Lytechinus pictus: one gene and its partner. The protein of the gene in region 2 interacts with the protein of the main gene of each other region in a biochemical or structural test. Links are inferred from orthologs where the notes say so. Each region holds a gene or a part of one and is shown on either strand. Other genes may lie near its edges. The genes, in order: eukaryotic translation initiation factor 4E-binding protein 1-like and leucine-rich repeat serine/threonine-protein kinase 1-like.

Region 1 (7,489 bases), on a different chromosome or scaffold from region 2:
GATGAATTGACCTTATATAGGGGAAAACCTTTTTTTTTTGCTTGTTAATTTTTGGGCGGACAAATTATTGACCTTAAGTTAAATCTAGGGGAAAACCTTTTTTTTTTATTGTCAAATTTCAACTGGGTAAAATGTGCCACCCTTTTTTAAAAATTATGGATCCTGTAGCACCACTTAAAATTTCAACTCTGGATCCACGCCTGACATGTGTATGGAATTGTTCTCTCTGGACATGATGTGACATGTTATGTTTTTGTTTTTTTTACATATGGCTGATTCATTGTTCTTTTTTTCAGCATGACCCAGGATGGTTTAAACCATGGACCAATAAACTATTTACAAGACCTCATCACCATCACCTATGCACCGACCATTTGATGATCATAACATTGTCATTATCAAAGTGAATGGGCAGTTCCAAACTAATTTTCCTTTTTTTAATTAAGGATATATTTCAGGCTAGGCAAGCATTTGCATCACAGAATCGCTCTGTTACAATGTTTATGAGCACTTGGATTTCTGTACTTCTGAACTGCCTGGCATGCTTTCAATCTCTTCAATCAATACCTTTCACATCAATGCAAACTAAAATTGTATATTTATGAATTATTAGTGGAAGTCCTACGCTTCTTTGCAAATTTACCACAAAAAACCTATAAATATCTACTATACAATTAACAAAACACCAATACAGCACTAAATAAGGGAAAATTAAGTGAAATATCAAAATAAAAGCTGCTAGTGTTGTTACAAATTGCATTGTCATATATCACTTATCCTTAAATCTTTGGTGCATGGCCCCCTGTTCAATATAATGATTTTAAATAACAATGACATTAATGAATTATAATAATGATGATGAATGATAATAATAACAATTATAATAATAATGATAATACATAATAATGATGATGATAATATTTATAATGATAATAATAAAATAATATGAATTACAATTTTTATAACAATAATGATAATAATGATAAAATTATCAGTAATAATGAAGAAGAGTGATTATTCATGATAATGATGATAACGACAAGAAAAAAAAATAATAATAATGAAAATATATCAGGGAAATATGCTTTAAAAAAATTCTTACCTGTAACACTTGGAAATTTCATTGGGAGTTTCTTTGACATTATAGTGAGTGCATTATGTGAGAGGTCAATGGATGATAATTGTGTTTTCCTCATTAGATGGTAAACTGCTTGCGGAACCGACTCCAGTAGACAGCTTGATAAATCTGTTGAGTAAAAAGAAAAGAAAAGAAAGAAAGAAAAAAAACATTACGATACTTGAATGGTCAATGATGCAAATAAATAGGCCCTACCATCAGTGGCGTAACAGGCGGGGGGGCAAGCTGCCCCCCCTGGCGGAGCTCACCGGGAAAATACAAAAAAACGGGGAGAAAAAAAAAAAAAAGGGGAGGGAAGGGAAAGGGAAAGGAAAGAAAAAAGGGGAAAGGGAAAGGAAAAGGGAAAAGAAAACTAAGAAAAAACATAAAAAAGGGAAAACGGAAAGATAACGGGAAAAGGAAGGAAAAAAGAAAAAGTGAGAAAGAACAATTCGCCCCGATATAAAAATACATTAGCATGATTAGTAAGACAGGGAAATAAATTAAAGATGACAAAAAGGCAAACAAAAGCGGGAAATAAAGGCAGAATGGAATTAGCCAAAATCTTAATTGGAAAATAAAGAATAGGGACAAGATAACGTACACTACCGGGCTGCCGAGGATTGAGATAACGAGCGGGAAGAAAATTGATGGTATAGCATAATGTCGTATGAAAGTTTATCATAAACTTGCTAAATCTCCAAAGGCTCTGTCCAAGAGTCAAGACCCCGTGCAGTGGGGGCTCTTCATCTGTAACCTTTAATGGGTTCTATAACGGGCCCCTATATGGACCCTTCCTGCATTAAGCTTTATGTTGAAGCACTGGCGTACCGGGGGGGGGGGGGAGTTCCACAGCCAAGGGGAAATATAAAAAAATAAAGGAGGCAGCGAAATGGGATGAATGAAAAAAAATATATGACATGATATTTGCTATAATGATGTAAAAATCTATCACATAATTAGAATTTCATTTTAACAGGCCATTTTTTTTCTGGCTCGCTTCGCTCGCTGGCGACTTTTTACAAATTTTCCCACATTTGCTATGGTGTGCCCCTCACAATATTTGGATGATTACGATACACAACTGTATTGAATTTATGTGTTGTGTTAAAGCTATATAAATATACACGCAATTTGATTAAAATAAGTGGCCATCTGTAAGGTTTAAAATAGCTTTGATATCAAGAGGTTACGGGGCTCTGCCCTGGACCCCACCCATAAAGCACTGTTATATGGATGAGTTTGGACCATGGCCCCAAAAAGTTCTACAACCAAACAAAAAAAAATGAGGAAAGAAAGGAAAGTGTATTATATTTTTTTGAATATCACGTTAAAATCTATCTTCATGTTAGATTCTCATGAAAAGGTGATTTCTTTATCTCGCTCGCTTCGCTCGCTCGGGACCTATATTAAGCTACTTCTTGCCAGAAGCGCCATACTCGGCCCCCCTCGAGCATATACTCATATAGAGCTTCGCCCTGATGCTCACAATCATAACAAAAATCCTGTTCACCGTGGCGTACAAAAAAGAGATAAAAAAGAAGAGGAGGGTGAAATATAATATCATCTTTTTAACATTATGTCAAAATCTATCACAAAATTGGATTTTTGCAATAAAAATGTCAACATTTTTTGCTCGCTTGCTTCGCTTTTATATATATATTTGCCCGATACGCCATATCGCCCCCTCAAAATTTTTGCCTCATGAAGCCATTGCCTGTTCCATGTATGACCGGGAAATTTTTGGCTCTTGCCCCCCCTGGCCACCGACCCCTGTTACGCCGCTGCCTACCATTATATGCCAACACCTACAATGTTCCTTGTTTTGTTTTTTTAAGATTGAGAGAGTGCATATATTATAGCTCTTATTTATTTATTTCACTACATTTACATGTACAAAATACTGCAATTAAAAATTACAAACTACTGTGCAAGACATATTAATAAACTTATAGGCCCTCAATCCTCATGTCTTTACAATTATAAGTAAGATAAGAACTTAATCATGAATATAAATCAAGATCCTCTTTTATTTTGATTATTAATCCATCTGATGTTTTGGTTCTTGAATCTTCAGGTAGGCCTAACTGTACTGGTAAATGAGGAAAAATAGGGGCATCAATAAAACAATAAATGGACGTGTCTAGCTAGCTGCCACGCCCATCTCGGCACTTAAGAGAGGGAACGTCCGGACAGAGTCCAGGCTAGGCCAGCGCCCCCGCCGCCCTGGCCTGATGAACACGGCCTCGCCTTCGGGAGGCCGAGGCGAACCGATATATAGTCAACAGTTCGCTGAATTGAAGGAGACTAGCCGTTTCATTTTCATGTATTTTCCCCTACAACGTTAACCCGAATATTCAATTTCAATAGAACGAAAATATCACCTAAGTTTCTATCTTCTTGCGCCTTTTCACATCTTAATACGACTCTTGTCACTGCTTCTGCTGCCATTTTGGTGAAGATTGCAGTTTCAGTCCGTCCTGATAATTCATCTAAAATAGTCTGAACTTTCAACTATCGCCTTGAAAGGTCATAGCGTTGTGTGCGTGCTTGCTGATATCACGTGGTTTTGTTTACATCATCTTGACATGCTATCGACAAATGTCGTCGACCCATTGGCACAAATCCAAAGCGTAAATTCCCATTTATCTCCATAAAAATCCTTTGAAATTAGCAGATATTTATTCTAATTACATAAATACAGAATTTGTATTACATTTCCTCTCAAAACCCTGATTTTTTAAACACATAAACTAAATTGTTGAAAAAATACATTGTTAATTTCCACAAGACAATTTTTAGTTGATAACTTCAACCTACCCAAATGCACTTGCCAATCTAGTAAGAATATAACATATTCCAAATATTAATTTAAAAATATCAATTTTATTAAGTTTTTTTACTTTTAAAAATTATTTGCATTCAATTTTATTTTTATTTTTTTCAAAATATTTCAAATATGTACATATGAGAAAATCGCAATTCTGTATCACTCACAAAATTGACAAAACTGTTACCGTACCTCCTTGCTGTATCGTCCGATGCGGATTTCCCCTAAATCCGTCATCACAATATTTACCTTCAAAAGAACCCGAAGAACCGTCCATTCCTTTGCAACTTTAGCTGCCCCGCAATCTTCTAAAATTCAAGCAAAATGTCAGCCCCTGCAGCAAGTCGTCAACTCAGTGCTGGTCGGGATATTCCAGCGAAAAGAGTAGCCGTCGACGACCCATCGCAGCTTCCACAAGATTACAGCACAACGCCAGGAGGCACATTGTTTTCAACGACCCCGGGAGGTGCGTACCGTACCGTACACACACAGGAGTACAGCCTACAGGCCTGGCTTCGTCTTCGACCCTCCCGATCCCAGGCCAGTACTAAGTCTAAGCCTTTAGCCCGGGACTAAGCCATAGTTAGCTAACGTCCGCATTTACTTATTTAGGGCCGATTTGATCCAGGAATTTTACACAATGTCTGCAATTATTGAATTAATAATAGCTAAAAAAAAAAAAAAATCAAAAATCAAAAATGGACTATGGAGTCAGATTAGGCCCTATAGCCTATAGGCTATGGCTATGTAATTATTGTAATAAGTTATTGCACTCACATCGATTCTATTTCTATTTAAATCTAATTAAAAATAAAATATACCCACCGTTTCAAATTCAAGGCTCAGCTCTGTGATGAAAATACAATGTCAAAAATATTAGTAAGATATCAAGGAGTCCTCAAGGCTAGGTTTATCCTGAAAAAAAATGATAAATAATAGATCAGCATTAATCATGTTCGGGCTAATCGCTTTAGTTTGATGAGTAAATGTCCAAACAGGTACTATACCAATGCGCATGAGCAGGAATCGCAATTGCTTGTGGGAGTAACTTTAGAACATGTAGAATCCAGTGTCATAAGTGATTATGAGAACAACCTACCTAGAACCCTCTATACTAACTGAAGTTAGAACGAGGCATCACGCATGTATCACATCTGTGCAGTGATAGATTCATGACATTGGATTAAGCCTGCTTGTGTACTAATGCTTGCATACAGAGGGGAAAATGAGGATGCTGAGATGGGGAATTCCCTTTTTTTTTCACTCTGCTGAGCAACACAACACAAGCTTCCTTTATCCTCTTGTAATACAAATCTTGAAGCTGAGATATTTCATATTGACCGAGAAATCAATATGGTTTGCCATACAACATGTATTACAATTACAGTCCTGGTGAGTTTTTCATAAAGCTGTTTCGAAGTTACAAACAACTGGTGATCCTTTCTTGTGGTAAATGGTAGACATCAAATTTTCATTGGTGTTGAGTTCCTAAGAAAGGGTTACCAGTCGTTCGTAAATTTGCTTGTTATATGAAAATGCCCACCTGAAACTTGAGAGTCTGGTTACTTTAGTCTTGTGCATCTCCACCCTTCTTTTTTTCCCTAGGAACACGCATCATCTACGATCGTCACTTTTTGTTGAATATGAGGAATTCTCCACTGAGCCAGACTCCTCCTAAGAACTTGCCTTCAATTCCAGGAGTGACCTGTCCAGAAGTGACCAGTGACAAACCTAATGGTGAAAGCAAGGCTCCAAAGAGTAAAACAGGTACACACTATACATTTCAATATTTTCAGGCAAGGCCACTTTCATAACATCTGAAGGTATGTTTCTGCATTACAGCTCAAATGGAAAAAAAAAATTCTAAAAAGGCACAATAAATCTCTGAGGCTAATGAGAGGGCCGCTAAGGCCAATGAAAACGGCATCAACCGCTAGTGTTGGGTAATATGTCTAAATTCTATATCATCGAAATTATGTGATATTGAAAAATATTATTTGATAATGATTTTATGAATATGTTGATATATCACAGTAACACGATATGCCCAAACTATTATTATGAAAAGATAATCACTAGTGATTGACCGCATGCTGCTCTGTATTGCTTTAAACCAACTCAGTTTAGTTGACCAGTGCCCAAATGCCCTCTTTTCAAGGACAAGCACCAATGGAAGTCTTCTTTCATTTCCCCCTTCCCTGCTCTTGCGGAATCACTACTCTTAATGGACATATAATGAATTTTCAGACTCGGCGATATATTGTGTTATCAGCGAAATTTTTCTGGCAATAATCTATTCACATTTAGATCAAATATCGACCAGCACTATCAACTACCATGGCTTCTAATGGTCTTGGGTAGTCTTGGGTTTAATTAATAATTTATTAACAGCAGGGAAGTTGTATACATGGGAGGGGGGTATGTGCCCACTTCCCTTTTTTAACCAAAAAGTTGGTGTCTCCACTGTCTTAAGTCGCTACCTTATAATTTTTTTTATATTCTTTATGTTGTAAGAAAAAAAATCCTGGATTTGTGATTGTCAACCAGACACCTAGTCAAACAAAAACTTACAGAACTTCATGAATTCACAGGCCTTTGGATTAAGTCTATATTAGTAGTTTGAACACAGATGTTTCAAGAATAAATAGCACTTGATGAAAATTTATTATGCAATGTGACAACTTTTTTTTGAAGATTTCATTTTTTGAATTGTAACAAAATTGTCATGTTTAGCCGGAATGAAATATAGGCATGCACTTGTTATGATTCACACATGTTTCATTTCTCTCTCTCTCTCCCTCTCTCTCTCTGTCTTATTCTCTTAACTAGACACTGCTGATGATCAGTTTCAAATGGACATCTGAGACGGAGGACCAACATACAGATGACAACTGTCTAAGAAGGCTAGTTAAGACAAAATAAGAAAAGATGTATACTGCGGGTAAAGAAGATAAATGATCCTGAATTGTTTATTTCACCATCGCAGTTCTGTTTGTTTTGTTTACTTAAGTTCCTGATGGGGACAAATCTGAATTTATTCTCAATATTATGGTATCAATCATGTCCTTTCATGTAAAATCAAAACCTTATCATAAATATGGGTATTTTTTCCAAACATATTCTCCAAAGATAAGCTAGATTGAGAAAAAAAAACTAAGGTTCTATTAAAATCTCCTGAATAAAGATGTTGTTATTCAAACAAACAAGGGGCAAGATGCTTAGAAGTGTAGCATGAATATTAATTATGATATGAATATTAATTATGATACACAAATATAACACTAATCAGTTCTCCTTTGTGTTTGTTTTTTTCTTCTCTCTATCAATACAAAGTACATATATGTTTACAACACAGATATTTAGGTGCAATACATTTTTTACAACAAAGGTGTCATATTTTTTTTTCAGTTCAAAATATCTGTTTTCCATAAATATTAAAGCTTAACTTTGCAATCTTGACAGGCAAAGCCGTTCAGTCAAAATATTGTATTATTATATTTTCTTTTAGTAAATAACTCTCTTTGCAATTTTATTGCTCTAAA
Region 2 (8,166 bases):
AATTATATTTTTCTTTCATGAGGACATACAACAATATACTACCTAGGCGATGTTTAGATCACAGCCCCAGGGGAATAGGTACTTAGGAGAAACCACAAATCACTGATAATAAAGTACATGGCCTATGGGAAAGTTGTCCTTGCCTCTTGTCATAATTTACTTACCCAGTTGCCAATTTGAAATCTACATAGTCATAGAGATCTCAATTTTAAAACAGCCATAACTTTCTTATTGCTTGTCCGATTTCTTTCAAACTTTCACCATTCTGTTCTATTTATTTTTCTCCTTTCAAACACAACATATTATGACCAAGGCTGGATTCCCCTTTAAGAGCGACTTTGAGAATGACTGGTGATCCTTTCATGTGGTAAATGGTGTGCACCAAAATGTTCATCGGCGATGGTTAAGCGCGTAAGAAAGGTTCACCAGTCGTTCTTAAAGTCGCTCTTAACTTACGAACAGCTTCATGAAACAGCCCCCTGGTACTAGAAAGAGTTTAATTAGACCATGTGGTTTGAGACAATATGTAAACTTGACAAAGCGGCTGTAGACCAATCAGCACTTGTCCCTGGAAAGCACCCAAATGGTATAAAATTTGCCATCAAATACCGACGGTGATAATATTTGCTCTAAATGGTGACACAACATTTGCTCCTGTGACATTTGATCCAGGCTTAATTTCGTCTAAGATATAGGGTTAGGCCGGGTTAGTGTTGCAATAGGGTTTTACATGTATGTTTAGGTTTAGGATTAGGTTTAGGGTAGGGTGTAGCATTATTAAAAGCCAGGGTTGAAGTTGGTCATTCGATTACACATAGTGTGTGGAATCTTTAGTAGGTCCATGATGGAATTTAGAGTCTGAGCAATTGTTTCAGGAGGAAATGTCATGGAACCCTCTAAATCCCTGTTCATCTTAGCCAAACCTTTGTTTGATAGTCAACTAATCCTTCTTGAGTCTGATGTGTTCACAGTATGTTAACATAGTAGAATATCTGAAGTGTGACTTACACTTACACTGTGGAAAACTCTAAAGTGTAAGAATTCAGTGCGTTAACTAACAGTATGGATTATGTGGCTTTGATTCACACCAGTTAGAACACTGTGGACAATTCTACAATTGGAGTGTTCATAGTGTATTCACCCAGTAGAGTATATGGATGTGAATTGTGATTCACATTGTGGAATAGATAATTTCAGACTGTGGACACCTAAACAGTGTGGGATCACTGTATTTTCACAAAGTGGACTAAACATAAAGATGTGATTCGCACTATGAACAGAATTTTAGACTAAACTACTCTACAGGTTTAGCTAGGGCCACAGTGAAGATGCTATTCACACTGTGGACAACTGTACAGTGTGTGTTTCCACACTTCACAGTGCACGGATGCACATAGTAGACTATGGAAAGATTTGATTCACACTGTTGAAATGCTCAAATTTAACCATGAGAGGAGAATTTGACACTTGACGACTCAACAGTGTGAAGGGTCACAGTGTGTTCACACTGTTAACTATTTCACACTGTTTAACTGCTCAAATTCAAAAGTGTAATGGGAATATCAGACTGTGGAAAATAAAAGTGTGAATGTTCACAGTGTGTTCATATAGTGGACATATGCAAATGTGATCCATGCTGTTTCAGATTATTGGCTACTCACTTGAAAACGTGATTTATGCTGTTGAAGATTATTTTACACTGGGCAACTCACAGTGTGAGGGATCACAGTGGGTTTGCACAGTATTGGACTGTGTGGAAAATTTATTCACATGGTCAAAATGGTGATTTATCAGTGTGTGCAACTCTTCAGTGTGAGAGGTTGCAGTGTGTTCACTCAGTGAACTGTGTGAAGATGTGATTTGCACTGTCGAAATCCTGAAATTCAACATTTTCACACTGTGGATAACTCTAACTGTGTTCACTTAGGAGAAAACCACAAATCACTGATAATAAAGTACATGGCCTATGGGAAAGTTGTCCTTGCCTCTTGTCATAAATTACTTACCCAGTTGCCAATTTGAAATCTACATAGTCTTAGAGATCTCAATTTTAAAACAGCCATAACTTTCTTATTGCTTGTCCGATTTCTTTCAAACTTTCACCATTCTGTTCTATTTATTTTTCTCCTTTCAAACACAACATATTATGACCAAGGCTGGATTCCCCTTTAAGAGCGACTTTGAGAATGACTGGTGATCCTTTCATGTGGTAAATGGTGTGCACCAAAATGTTCATCGGCGATGGTTAAGCGCGTAAGAAAGGTTCACCAGTCGTTCTTAAAGTCGCTCTTAACTTACGAACAGCTTCATGAAACGGCCCCCTGGTACTAGAAAGAGTTTAATTAGACCACGTGGTTTGAGACAATATGTAAACTTGACAAAGCGGCTGTAGACCAATCAGCACTTGTCCCTGGAAAGCACCCAAATGGTATAGTGGACTATGTGAAAATGGGATTCAAGAGCTCTGTTAGAAAGCTCAAATTTAAGAGTTTAAAGATGAATTCACGTTGTTTCCCACACACTAAACTTCTACTGCTACATGAATGTGAACACTGTGTGACACACTGTAGAACTGTGTTCTTTCCAATAGGGAAGCTATCTGACACCACCACACTATTCAAGCAGTACAGAATATCAGCATCACACAATGCTCAAGACTCGTCGGGTCGAGGTTAAAAGCTATAATTATCTTGTCTTTTGGCAGTCACATGACAGCTGAACATGAAGCTGTGAATGCTAATCCCAGTGTCTTTAGAGCATTCATTTCTTCTGTAAGCTTGAGTAATTATGGGCGTTCCCCTTGGCTGCAAGATAGTGTTACTCTTTAATATGCAGCCACGAAAGAATGGAAATTAGCTCATACTCTTGATGGATCTAGGAACATTTTATTCCATTATTATTATTTTGATTTTTGTGTTAAAGCCTGTCATGTTAGAGAAATCTTGACACATTTAGTTTGTGGTTTTTTTCGCTCCACGAAATGTTCATAATCTCAGTGGAACTTCCAAGTAGTCCTGAAAAAAGTGGGATCAAAGAAAGTCTTATATCTTGTCCTTTATTTATCTGTACAGTGTACAACTTAAAGTTTTGATAATTATTCTGTCATCTAAAGCAATTTCTAATGTTAAGATCATACTGCTATTTGGCTATTTACAGAGAATCTGTCCTGGCGACTTTTTTGAGGGGGGGGGGGGGTCACATATAAACCGGATCCAGGTTCTTTAATATGAGTTGCTTTAGGTCAAGCAGGTGCTGTTTAAATTATCTTTGGCTTAATTACAGATTTTAAGCTGATGAAATGGTCTTGTGTGATTTTCACCAAATTGACGGTTGTCCTGCTCTTTGTGTGCTCAGGGGGATGTAGATGTCTGACTTCAGATCACATGATTTTAAAATCACATGATCATTACGGTAATTAAAGCATATGGAAGTATCTCCATGGTTAAAGGGATACCCTGTTGTGGGATAGATTGAAAAAAAAAATTGTGGGCTTTTAAATTGTCTTCCTGTAAAAAAACCCCTGAAAAAAAAGAAAAAGATATAACTGACAGATCGGCAAAAATGTCATCAAATAATTAGAGAGTTATGATTTGTTTAGGTTTGATTGAGTTTGTGATGTCATATGCGAGCAACTGCCTAATATATGGCATGTGATATGAATTCCATAAATTTACTTTTTTTATGGTACATGTTAATCATCATTGTAAATATAGTTTTTCGTATAAAACTGACTACGAAATGATTTGTGTGTCTGATGATATTGCATGCAAATAATACATGTGTGTTATCAATTTTCAATTTTTGAGAATTAGTATTATATTATAGAATTAACATATACATGCGTGCATATGATCTCACACACTCAAAAGTTTTAAATTCTATTTGTTTACGGATCTTCGCTAAACCTTCACTTACATGTTTATTTTGTTGTTTTTCTGCCTTCATCGAAACAAACTTTATGAGAGCTGAGAAGTGACAGCATTTCTAAAAAGGATGGTAGACACTCACTCCTTGGCCCCTTTTCACGCTTCTCCACCTTTTTCCACCTATTCTACCCTTTGAGTTTTTTTTAGAGCGTAGTAATCCATATGATGTCATAGTAATTTTTGCCATGTAGGTGGTATACAAAAGTCATGAACATTGCTTGGCTACTTACAAGATTACAATGTACTTCAGCCTTCCCAACAGGCATTGCTTTGTCCAGATACAGAAATTTGGAGCAAGACCCATGCTATGCCCTAGTTTTAACAAGTTGTCATAATTTCTTATTGACCCTCCTTCCCTCTTTCACTTCCTTTAATCATAACACTGTGTGCCCCCCCCTGTCTTCCTGCCTTGACATACATACTGTACATCCCAGGCAGGTCTAACACTCACCCCCCCCCCCCCTCTCTCCACCCCGCACTCCAAATTAGGAAGCCTGTAGTCATACATTAACACTCATTGGTTAATAATCTAATGACTACTTAATTCTCATGATCATGAATTGTCTCGTGTCGCCTGTCTGAATTAGAAGTTGAGATATTTTGGGTAACACACACGCACACCAGGCATTATCGCCCTGGCCTGCTCTCTCTCTCTCTCTCCCACGGAGTCCTGTTTTAACGAACTCTTCAGCTACATCATCTACATGCTAACGTGGGCATGATATTGATCACTCATATTTTTCTAATACTTTCACCTACTTGTAACACTTTGTGTTTGGAAGAGTAAACCTTAATTTTTTTAGAGCTGCACATTTATTTTTGGAACCCACATGACAAGAGCGGGTCACTGGGCCATATTATATATGGCAGAACCAGGATTCAACAGTTTTTCCCGCGAAACCCGAGGATAAGAATCTGTCTGATTTGTGTGGCTCTTCTCCATGCCATGTGCTACCTAGACTTCATATCATCTCAACAAGCACTTCCATATCACATGATCAAAATGTAATCATGCAATGTCGATACCTGTAATGTCTTCGAGTTTCTCTCCAAAACTTAACTCTTAATGATTTTCCAGACAGCCACTCCCAGGAATTCATTAGTTTTGATGGTGTTTATGGACCCAAGTATTGATGTTGAATGTTTGTTTCTGTTTGACATTAAAGCCGTGTAATTATTCTCTAGTTTCCGTAATCAATTCGCTCCAGCACCATGCAATGGTTGCATCAGGGTTAGTTCGACGGATGCCCCCAAAGCATCAGGAAAGTGTTTGTTGCCTTCCCAAACTATGATATAGCAAGCCATTTTATATTCATTGTCACTGAAGTGAAAGGATATCACAGGTATCTTCCTGTTGCTTGTTTTTGTCTCTTATCGCAACATTGGACACCTGATAACAAGGAAGCGTGTTCAATAATCTATGTTGGAGGCTTAGCCATCGTAATCAGTCGTCATTTATAGAATTGTCTTCCTAGATCATGGTGATTGTGCGTAATATTTTTCTGATGTCTCTGAAGAGAAATGTCCATCTGCAGATCTAGTTCTAAAGCTAATGTCAGTTTGCCATCTACTGAGCATAGGATACACTGGGATATCTCAGTCGGATTCTGATTCTGGTGTCTTGGAATTGTTCTTTTGGAATTCCTGAACAGACTACTGGTGAGGTCAAATTATCCTGCTGTGCAGGACCAAAATACAGGGATGAACGAAAGCAGTTTGGCCTGAACATGTGCAAGAGTGAACATCTTGTGATCCACTGATCAGTGATGTGTTGGTGAATAGTCAATGAATGCCTTTTTGCACTGATGTCCTCACTATTAACATATGTTGTGAAAATTAACCTGTTCGCAATGATTGCAACGTGCTTTGTCCAAGTGTTGATTTTCAGGATGTGATCATGTTCAAACTTCAAAAGGAAAGAAAGGCCGATGCTTAATAATATCGTTGACTCTACTTTATCTTATTACAAGGTATTGTCAGGCTCACCGCCATATTTGTGCAAACTGGGTAAACTGTAACTGAATTGGCTGAGAGGTTTCTTAAGGGATATTCTTTGACCTGAGCCGGAGTTCAGGTTGACTGTTCAGTAATCCATAAGCTTTTCCTGCATTGGCATTTAGAGAGGAAAGTTGCCCTGTCTGTCCATGATGTCGTCATCGTTGACTCTGAGATGTAAGAGGAATTTCAGGTCGTTTGGCAAAAAGTGGAGCTCAAGGTCATGGAACTATGGTGAAGGGGAAGGTGGGAGAAGAAGGAAGAGTGAGTATTATACTTCATTTGTGGGTTAGTTAAATCGGTTTGCTCTTACCACAAACAAATGCTCCTCTGCGAATCAATCTGAAGATTTAGGTGAAGGTCAGATTTGTGTTAAGAATTTTGTTTAAGAATCATACCTGTGAGGATTAGGGTTAAGGTACAGTTTCAAGCTCGGGTTTATTTGCTTAATTTTCAGTTGGCGCATTAGTCACAGGAGCAAAGGTCATGGAACCTACTATCTACTTGTTTGGACCTTGTTATTTACTTTTGTTCTTTGCTATTTACTTGTATTGCAATAATAATAATAATAATAATAGTGATATCTTATTGAGCGCGCACACCGTCCAGAGACGCTCATGGCGCTAGCGCAGCAACAGTTCCTTTAGATACAAATATTTTTTACACGTACATTACAAACAGCTACTTGATTTACTGTTGATGTTGTAAATATTGGTATTGAAACGAAAAAAAGATTAATTAATTCATTCATTCATTCATTGAAAGATGAAAAAACTTGTTTGGACCAACTACCTCTTTGTTATCATTGTTTGGAACTACACAACCACCCCTGCAACCAACTCCTACAGCTGCTGGCAATCATATTCTTATTAAATATTTTATTGTTATTTTTGTTTACTCATGATATAATTCTGTTCTACTTCTACTTGTTAGTTGTATTTTCTTTTCTTGCTTTCTCTTGTCCAATCCTCCTCATCCATGTTCTCCCCCTCGTTCAACATCTTCCCTCCCCTTTTGATATTCTTGTCTTCTTCTTCCTCCTCCTTCTCTTTCTCCTTTGTCTCCTTCTTCTCCTCCACCTCCTCCTTCTTCTTCTTCTTCTCCTCCTCTTTCTTCTCCTCTTTCTTCTTTCTCCTCCTCCTTTTTCTTCTTCTCCTCCTTTTTCTTCTTCTTTTCCTCTTCCTCCTAATCTTCACCTCCCCTCTTTTTCTTCCCCATCTTCTAGTCCTCTTTGTACTTCTTTTATAAATGTTTGATGTGCACTATCTGCACTCCCTTCAATGGCAAATTCCTCTATTTTTGCACTGCACTACTGTTCAGCTTTAATTTGGTGAGGTTTAATAAGGGAAGGCTCGATTCTGTAGTACGAAGGAAATCATAAAAAAGGAGGAAATCATATGACGAGCTTGTTAAGGATGTACGTAATATTTTGATACTTTTTCAGGAATATTAATAGGTCACTTGGAGTGCCAGCATTATCTGTGTCATGAGCAGTAATCATACCTCCATATATTCAGATTCAAGATTAATTCATTACATTCAATAAAATGATACAAATTTACAAGAATTTACATTTACATACAATACAAGTTATGAAAACACAAAAAGGGAATTGATTTCCCATACAAGGAAAAAATAATCCAATATGGAATTGGGTCTCTGCAAAAGTTAGAATAAGACTTGAACTTGTCAAGGCTGTGCCCCAAACTGGAATTGAATATTTGTACAATTGACAATTGTTGAGGTTTTTAATCATAAAGCAATACAAAATAAAGGTGGTGATTTTTTACCTGATTGCTAAGAAAGCATAAATGCTTGTAAGCAAGCAACCAGAGGACCAACGGCTTAAGGTCCTCTCCGAAGGACCTGGTACTGAGGATTAATGCCTTACCAAAGGGCACTAGCGCACCAAGTGGGAATCGAACCCGGGTCACCAGAATACGAATCCCCCGCTCTACCGACTGAGCTATCGCGCCAAAGGAATTTTACAACTTTTACAAAATTTTATAAACATAAAATTAAGTTAAGAGGGGGTGAAAGGTTAAATATTATTGTATGAATAATTACATGAATAGGGATTGCATGTAGGTTAGTTTTTTTTTATAAGTTTTTATAGTTTCCTTTTATAACAATTGAAATTACTAGTTTGACGTATATATTGAGGAAGTGCATTCCATACAAAAGGTGTATTATGTTTGACAGTAAAATGAAAGTTTTCTTTCATTTTAATATACATGTACATGCA

What was found.
Region 1: of the proteins of leucine-rich repeat serine/threonine-protein kinase 1-like (region 2) and eukaryotic translation initiation factor 4E-binding protein 1-like, one has a biochemical effect on the other in vitro, tested with the Drosophila melanogaster proteins (2 studies listed by BioGRID). The link is inferred for Lytechinus pictus from reciprocal best matches to the Drosophila melanogaster genes Lrrk and Thor.

What each region holds. Positions count from the first base shown.
Region 1 is NC_087262.1:3,356,099-3,363,587, reverse strand, and holds the start of eukaryotic translation initiation factor 4E-binding protein 1-like, read left to right. Parts: upstream 1-4,132; 5' UTR 4,133-4,271; coding exon 4,272-4,413; intron 4,414-5,552; coding exon 5,553-5,714; intron 5,715-6,776; coding exon 6,777-6,811; 3' UTR 6,812-7,489. Other genes in the region: leucine-rich repeat protein SHOC-2-like, read right to left, coding at 1,103-1,246, 3,502-3,568. UniProt on the Drosophila melanogaster protein: Repressor of translation initiation that regulates eIF4E1 activity by preventing its assembly into the eIF4F complex. Hypophosphorylated form competes with eIF4G1 and strongly binds to eIF4E1, leading to repress translation.
Region 2 is NC_087248.1:18,463,206-18,471,371, forward strand, and holds the start of leucine-rich repeat serine/threonine-protein kinase 1-like, read left to right. Parts: upstream 1-5,131; 5' UTR 5,132-6,070; coding exon 6,071-6,185; intron 6,186-8,166.